Linked DNA regions of Bombyx mori. The protein of the gene in region 1 purifies or fractionates together with the protein of each later gene. This does not show direct contact. Links are inferred from orthologs where the notes say so. Each region holds a gene or a part of one and is shown in the gene's direction. Other genes may lie near its edges.

The links. Proteins that work in one complex are often made in the same cells at the same time.
Region 2: the proteins of transcription elongation factor B polypeptide 3 (region 1) and another transcription unit protein purify together in Homo sapiens (affinity purification with mass spectrometry; 3 studies listed by BioGRID and IntAct, with this or other methods). This does not show direct contact. The link is inferred for Bombyx mori from reciprocal best matches to the Homo sapiens genes ELOA and LEO1.

The regions. Positions count from the first base shown.
Region 1 is NC_085112.1:7,694,694-7,698,639, forward strand, and holds part of transcription elongation factor B polypeptide 3, read left to right. Parts: intron 1-1,536; coding exon 1,537-2,602; intron 2,603-2,678; coding exon 2,679-2,785; intron 2,786-3,020; coding exon 3,021-3,196; intron 3,197-3,318; coding exon 3,319-3,407; intron 3,408-3,912; coding exon 3,913-3,946. UniProt on the Homo sapiens protein: SIII, also known as elongin, is a general transcription elongation factor that increases the RNA polymerase II transcription elongation past template-encoded arresting sites.
Region 2 is NC_085113.1:9,404,789-9,408,734, reverse strand, and holds part of another transcription unit protein, read left to right. Parts: intron 1-742; coding exon 743-888; intron 889-1,652; coding exon 1,653-1,870; intron 1,871-3,501; coding exon 3,502-3,664; intron 3,665-3,946. UniProt on the Homo sapiens protein: Component of the PAF1 complex (PAF1C) which has multiple functions during transcription by RNA polymerase II and is implicated in regulation of development and maintenance of embryonic stem cell pluripotency.

The DNA.
Region 1 (3,946 bases):
GGTCGTGTAGAATAGATTAGGTATATGAAGGACTTAATTTATTTAATTTGCTCAAGTGGATGCTTAGAGAAGTTATATGTAATATGAAACTCCAATTTAATGTAGTTTTTAGTCAACCTTACAACTTTTGACCAACCAATAATTTGAGGTTGGTGTATCAGAGAACAGGATGTTGTGGTATATAATGTAATATAGATAAAATAAGTTGAAGTCTGTTTTCTTCTAACTCGTTTTATTTGTATTTTGATAAAAACTACGCTATCATTAATTTTCACATTTTTGTAGAACTAACACCGGGTGTTGAATTGTTACCGCAACCGTGAGAGCCACTTAGGGAAATAAAATCGAAAAATCAATAAGATAAATATAATGAATTTCCCCAGCCTTTCAGACCGAAACGCACGATTGCCCAGCTGCAGGTATACCTTACCTGCTACCAAAATCACGCAAATTAAAAAACACGCTATTTTCATTGATAACATACAAAGGTGTTGTATTCTAACATCAAAAATTGGTACGCGCCTATATAATTTGATACATTCGTATAACTTAAAACTGAAAATAAAGAGTGTGAAGGAACACGAATAAAGACACTACATTATCCACAGTCCAAATTAGCTGCTATGCAGACTTGCGTTTGATTTTTATTGGTCATAAACTAACTTGTAAAATATTGAAAAAAATATGTATAACTCATAATGCTTATTTAATGATGATAGGTAGATAGGACGTGCATTACGTAAGAACCGTTTAGTCTTTATCAGTTTTATTTTATTGCTTCAAGGCAAACGAACATGCAACCTAACTAGTGTAGAATGGTCACCACCCATGCATGTACAATTCCGGGAGCGCAACCATATGGCTGGTTTCCAATATTCGGAGGCAGAGACAACTATTGTTTATAACCCTCTGACCGATTTAATATCGGTTTATTATCCTCAGATCAAGAATAGTAGGTTCGGCTCAGTTCAGAATATGAATCCCAGTATTTTGGTAGCAATTACGAATTATAGACCTATTATGAACTTCTATGGTAATTAACAAGTCACCATCTAGTTTCTTATTCGACATTATGTATGACATTTAGACAACTATTATTAAATTACATTTGAGACTAGATACATGACACTAAGACCCGCCAGTTCGACTTCAAGTGGGAACAGATTAGTAGATAAATTCGCTCCGCGATGATTCGTAATCGAAAGAGGATTTTAGTCATTACCTTTCCGACATGCTCTACCCCTAGAAAAGTGGGCTCACAATAATCAGGCGAAAGTCCGGCACTTTTTTCCTGACACAAAAAACATATGTTATAATCTTCGGTTTTCCAGTACACCAAGAATAGGCTTCAATAAGATCATCATATTAGGCATACCTTTGACATCAGCGATATTTGATATCTGCGGGCTACGCTAACCAACCGCACCAAAAATAACGTTCATTTTCAAATGATGGAAGAATTATAACTATTAAGTCACATATTTTGAAAAGATATTAAACCTTGATTTTTTTTTAATAATATCCATCTCATTTTAGGAAGAAGAGCCCGACCACAAACGTTCAAAACAAACAAGTCATAGTGATGATAATTACAAGAAACATTCTGATGCACGAGAACAAAATGATGAGAGCGAAAGCGACAGTTACGAATCTGACGATTCTGAAAGTGACGATAGCGAGTCCGACTCTTCGGATTCCTCTGTTGAAGAAGTAAAGGTTAAAGAAGAAATTAATAAAACACGGTCTGACGAGAACAAACTATCAAAACATTCTTCACACAACAACCACGTAGACCACAAAAGGGAAACCTCAAGCTCAAAGAAGCAACACGAGGCTGACCCCAAACATACCGAACATCATAACTCGAAGTCGAAGCGCAGGCATTCGCCAGAAACATCGTATGAAAAATCACACCACTCTCATAGACACAAAAGCTCTAAGGAAAAAGAAAGCAGCAGCAAAGAAGCAAAACATAAATCAGACACAGATAAACATTCAGACCATTCACAGAGTAAAGATTCGAAAACGGGCAAATCATCAAGCAGTCATCACAGTTCATCGGCATCAAGTAGGCATCATAGCTCAGACAAACACAAGTCTAGTTCCAGCTCTCAAAAACATCATAATGAAGAACCGAAAATCAAACCTGAAAGACATTCCAGTCATTCAGACAAGCACAGAAGTTCCAGTGAGTCAAAAAGCGCAGAAAGGAATAAGAGTTCGTCTGAAAAAGATATTCCGAAACACAAATCATCAAAAGATAAAAGTAGCAGTAAAGAAACATTTAGTAGTAAAGATAAAGACAGACATAGTTCCTCTAGCAAGGAAAAGTCAAGAGAAAAAAGTAATTCTAAGGATAAATCGAGCACCAATAGTAATGATAAGAAGCATTCGTCTTCAAGTGATAAACACAAATCAAGTAAGAGCGAAAGCAAATCGTCAAAGAATGAAGAGAAGAGTAGTGAAAGTAAATCTAAACATAAGTCAAGTTCCTCGTCGGATCACAAAAGTAGTAAGAATAAAAGAAAAGAAGAACCAGAACCAAAGAAAAAGGCCCGTTTAACCGACGAGGACAGTGACGATGGCATCGACTGTGAATCAGGTAAATGAAGATACGCTCACAAAACTTACCTTCGAATAAAATAGAATACCTTCATACCTACCTTATATTTCAACAGGTGCGAGTTTTGCTGAAGCATTGGGCATGATCAGTCCAGCGAAACCGAAAAAGAAATCGTCACAATTGAAAGACAGTATATCTCCTAACAACATATTCGGTAACGATGTAAGTATGCGAATCGTGTACACTTTAACAAATAATTGGAATATCGTATTTTGAAATCCACTAAAACTACGTTTTTTAAATATGACATAGAATCTGTAAAAGTACACAAATGATTATAAAGACAATAATTATCTGTATTATAATATAAGAATCAGAAAAAGTACACAAATGATTATAAAGACAATAATTATCTGTATTATAATATGAGAATCAGAAATTGTAATATATTTTCTAGATGAGTCCGGCGGCTATGTTGGCTCCGACTGCAAAATTGGCGCCTTTGCCGGCATTAGAAATATCTGCACTACCAGAGATATCGCCGAACTACAAGCCCCGACCGCCTCCTAAATTTATGTTCAATTTCACAGACGAGGAGGCCTTAAGTGCAGGAATATCATCGAAAAACCAAAGGTAATCTAAAATGTTAAAAAAAATTAGAAAATGGGACATAAAAAGAATTATATTACGATTAAAATATATTTTTAAATTATGCTTAATTTCGAATAAAGAGTTTGTGATTTTGATATTTTCAGAACCAAAGTGTATTCCGGGAATAAGGTCATAGGAAAAATACCAACTCTGTATGAGATATGCGTTAACATTCTCCAAGAGCACATTGACGGTATGTATTTTTAGTATTCAATTGCAAAATGTAGAACACAGATTAACATCATTCTGTGAAGACATCCATACAATAGCTTTACTAATAACAGTGTTGTGAAGTAATTGCAACGGCTTACGATAATTTAACTGCGCTTAGTTACTTGTTTAATCAATCAACTTACCTGTGTTAATATATAAAGTGTACGAAAATAATTAAGGGAAACTTAAGCAAAATGTACCTTACAGAAATTTATATTTCCTTTTTTAGTAAGTTAGTTAGTATTTCCTAATTAGTTTGGTAATACACAATCTGAAAAACATAACTGGTAAATGTTGTCAAAATCGTATAACATTTCGAAGATTTTTTAATTTTATCATGTCATTTAGCACCTGTCCTTATTTTCGAGTAACCTTACATTCGATATTATGTCAATCTATTTTCTGGGCAAGTGCCTAAGTTAAATTTATATCATAACAACACAAAGTGTCATCAGTGAGAAATTAAGAACACTTAATATTTTTAGCACTGGAGTACACAGGCGGTGTGCCATATGAAAT
Region 2 (3,946 bases), on another chromosome or scaffold:
TTTTTTACTGTTGGTAGGACCTCTTGTGAGTCGGCGCGGGTGGGTACCACCACCCTGCCTATTTCTGCCGTGAAGCAGTAATGCGTTTCGGTTTGAAGGGTGGGGCAGCCGTTGTAACTAAACTTGAGACCTTAAAACTTATATCTCAAGATGGGTGGCGCATTTACGCTGTGGATGTCTATGGGCTCCAGTAACCACTTAACATCAGGTGGGCTGTGAGCTCGTCCACCCATCTAAGCAATAAAAAAAAAGAAAAATATGATTGCTCATTGTATAAATGTAAATTTATGTTGAAAATGTAATATCAAAATACATATACATAACAAAATAGTCATAATACTGAAAGGTTTATGAAGATTACTATATATTTAAAATGTATAGTTGATGCATATATGTATGTAGCGTACTGATACTGAGGAAGTATATAGTTTTTAGTGGTGGTGCAATAAATAGCTAAATGAAAAAAGAATTGCTGTTCGTTAGTCTCGCTAAAACTCGAGAACGGCTGGACCGATTTGGCTAATTTTGGTCTTGAATTATTTGCGGAAGTCCAGAGAAGGTTTAAAAGGTAGATAAATATGAAAATGTTTGGAATTAAATAACAATTTTGTTTTTCCTTTGATGTGTCCCCCGTCGGACAAAAGTATAGAAAAGTTTAGGTCTTTTATTTATCGATTGAGGCACTACGAAGTCTGCCGGGTCAGCTAGTATAATAATAAATAAAACATATTTTTCCTGACAGTGACCGCTGACGCGTTGTTCGGTGACGCGTCAGACATAAGCACAGAAGACGAAGAACAGAAAGATCAAGACAAGCGTTCCGATCGGTCGCGTTCGAGAAGTAGGTCTGAAGATAGACGATCCGAAGATCGTAGAAGTGGTGATGAGGTATAATATACCTTTTTTGTATGTTGATAATTTTACACGACTTTGGCGGTCTGTAGTTCCTCAGGTATAGGCAACTCGGTGAGTGATGCTATCAGTTTTGATCAAGGGATAGGTGATCGAACATCTGGTATTTTCCTGTTCCTACTTCTCACGTCCTTACGGATCCATCAGATCAAATAATTCTTACATTAGACGCCTTGACCCCATTTACGAGCAACCTAACCTATACATGAGCCCGCTGAGTTTCTCGCCGGATCTTCTCAGCAGGTCGCTATTTCAATCCGGTAGTAGATTTATTCGCGAAGCAGCTGCTCTTGAGTTGCTAGGTCTCCTTTGGAGGCGCGCAGGCGGTTGTTAGCTAATCCCACACCTCCTAGCTGAGCCTTTGCTCGCTCACCTGTCCTGGTGAAACTGGAAAGGCCATCAGTAATCCCTTATTCAATAAAAAAATACCCCTCTTAATCATCATCGAAGATAATTTGAAAGTTCATCCTCCTTTTTTACTTAAATATTTACTTTGTGCCTATGAACTCCAGTAACCAGTTCATAAGACTATCTATGAGCTCGACACTCTGTCTACGTTCGTGAAAATAATCTCTCTTAATCTCTGGTTGATTTCCTGATATTTGATTCTGATGAATCATGAATGTGACGAATAGGCATTAACAACTTAGCATCTATGTTACATCTATATGGCAAATAGAGCACATCAACTTGGCATCGTTTTAGTCATTGCTAAGTGGCTCAAAGATTTGGCACTTTAGCCGGAAGTTCGCGAAAAGCCGGAAGAGGAAGAGGAAATCGAGGTTCCGGAGACGAGGATCGACGTGGACATGCCCAAGATATGGACGGAATTGGGAAAGGAATTGCACTTTGTCAAACTACCCAACTTTTTGTCGGTCGATACGAGGCCTTATGATCCTAACACGTACGAAGATGAAATCGATGAAGAGGAGACCCTGGATGAGGAAGGTCGTGCCAGGTATCGTATTTTTTTTTAAATTGTCAAAATCAGCACCCGTTCCTTTGAGCTTTCCTTAGTAATAAGTTAATTAATTCCACGACCAAACGTTGATTGGATATTTTCCGCAAAAATTGCTTTAACAAGAATGTCTGCTTCTTTGGGTAATTGGTATGGCGCTGTGATTTTATTTATTTATTTAATTAGTCTACTTACAAATTAACAGTATAAACCAAAACATTTGTAAGGTATTAATAATTAGCTTAAGTAATTTCTAACAACAACAATAAATCGCTGCAAACCATCATGGAATATATCCATTTCCGGAGCATAGCCTAGCAAGCCATTGAGTAGCGAGACAGCACGATGCGTCGGGGAGTTAGCGGTGTGCTGCGTACGCGCGTCCGTAGACTAAGAAGCTGCCGCTGGCGACGCGCCCCTCCACACATACATCCGCGCATGTAGCCATCAGGCACATATAACGACACTGATTGCAGTGCAGTGGAGTTATCAATTTTGTTATGCAATAGCTGATAATAATGCACCATAAGAATCATCTTCCGTCTGAGCTCAAGAGTATCTAATCCGACCATACCAGTCACATAAAGTGATGGATACAAGAACGGATAGTATCCATACATTTTCTTGAATAGGAACCTGCAAATTTTTTTATGTAGTTTTTCCAGCATTAGCTTTTGAACTGCTTCGCGAGGATCCCACACGAGTGCGTTATATTCAAGACTACTTCGCAAATAGGCATCGTACAGCATAACAATCACACGATGGCCTACAAAGTCGTGCATCTGACGAATTATGAACCCGAGCAGACCACTACCCCTTTTACATATATATGTATATAAGGAAATCTTATCCTCAGTTTGTCGTACAGATCTGTTATACATTAGAACCAATCATGTCTAGATTTGTTTGTAAGATCTATACAGTCTGTTTATGTAACTCTATTCGTCCAACGATTGAAAATCGACCGTAATCATTGACGTTACAAGATTTAAATTCATTTCGATAAATTTTGTCTTCTTTTTTCTTATTGACATTTTTTTTTCTTGCTTAGATGGGCAGACGAACTCACAGCCCACCTGGTGTTAAATGGTTACTGGAGCCCAAGACATCTACAACGTAAATGCGCCACCCACCTTGAGATTTATAAGTTCTAAGGTCTCAAGTATAGTTACAACGGCTGCCCCACCCTTCAAACCGAAACGCATTACTGCTTCGCGGCAGAAATAGTCAGGGTGGTGGTACCTACCCGTGCGGACTCACAAGAGGTCCTACCACCAGTAGAAAATTGTCATTGTAATAGGCTAAGACGGATTAATCTTCGTGCGTTCGATTCGTATAACACGATGTTATTTCTTCTGAACACTTGATGTCTGCTTTTTTTTGTCCTTCCTATGCTGATACCCTTGAGAGGCTATATCAGCTTCGCCCTAACGTGTAGGTGAGCTCACGGGGCTCAAACCGGAGTGTTGCTAACACTGGCCCTAGCAAGAGCAGTGCTTTGCAGAATCTACCACCGGATCGGAAACGCGACCCACTGAGAAGATCAGGCGAGAAACTCAGTGGGCTGTGTTTGTGGGTTGATGACTGCGACACGTTTTCTTGCTATTTAAATCTAAGCTCTGCGTTAACAGGTTAAAGCTGAAAGTCGAGAACACGATACGATGGAGGACGGTGTTCGACAAAGAAGGCAACGCGGTTAAAGAGTCCAACGCGCGCATGGTGAAGTGGTCGGACGGCAGCATGTCGCTGCACCTCGGCGCCGAGATATTCGACGTGTACAAACAGCCTTTGCACGTGAGTTTCATTACTTACTAATTGTACGGTTGCTTATGCAAGAGTAAAGGGTGTAAACTGCCCTTTATTAATAAAACAAGTTGATTACAATTTAACTCCGTATATTCACAAGTGTCTGCCGTGTCGGGTGGGCTATGTACGACTGACCAAATGCAAGCGATGTACGAAACTGCATACGTTGCTAAACGGTGTCCCTACACTAATGTTACGTGATGGAAAAGGGGGGGGGGAGATAGGAGGAGAGCGAGATAGGGGGGGAGAGGTATGTATGAGGAGAGAGGG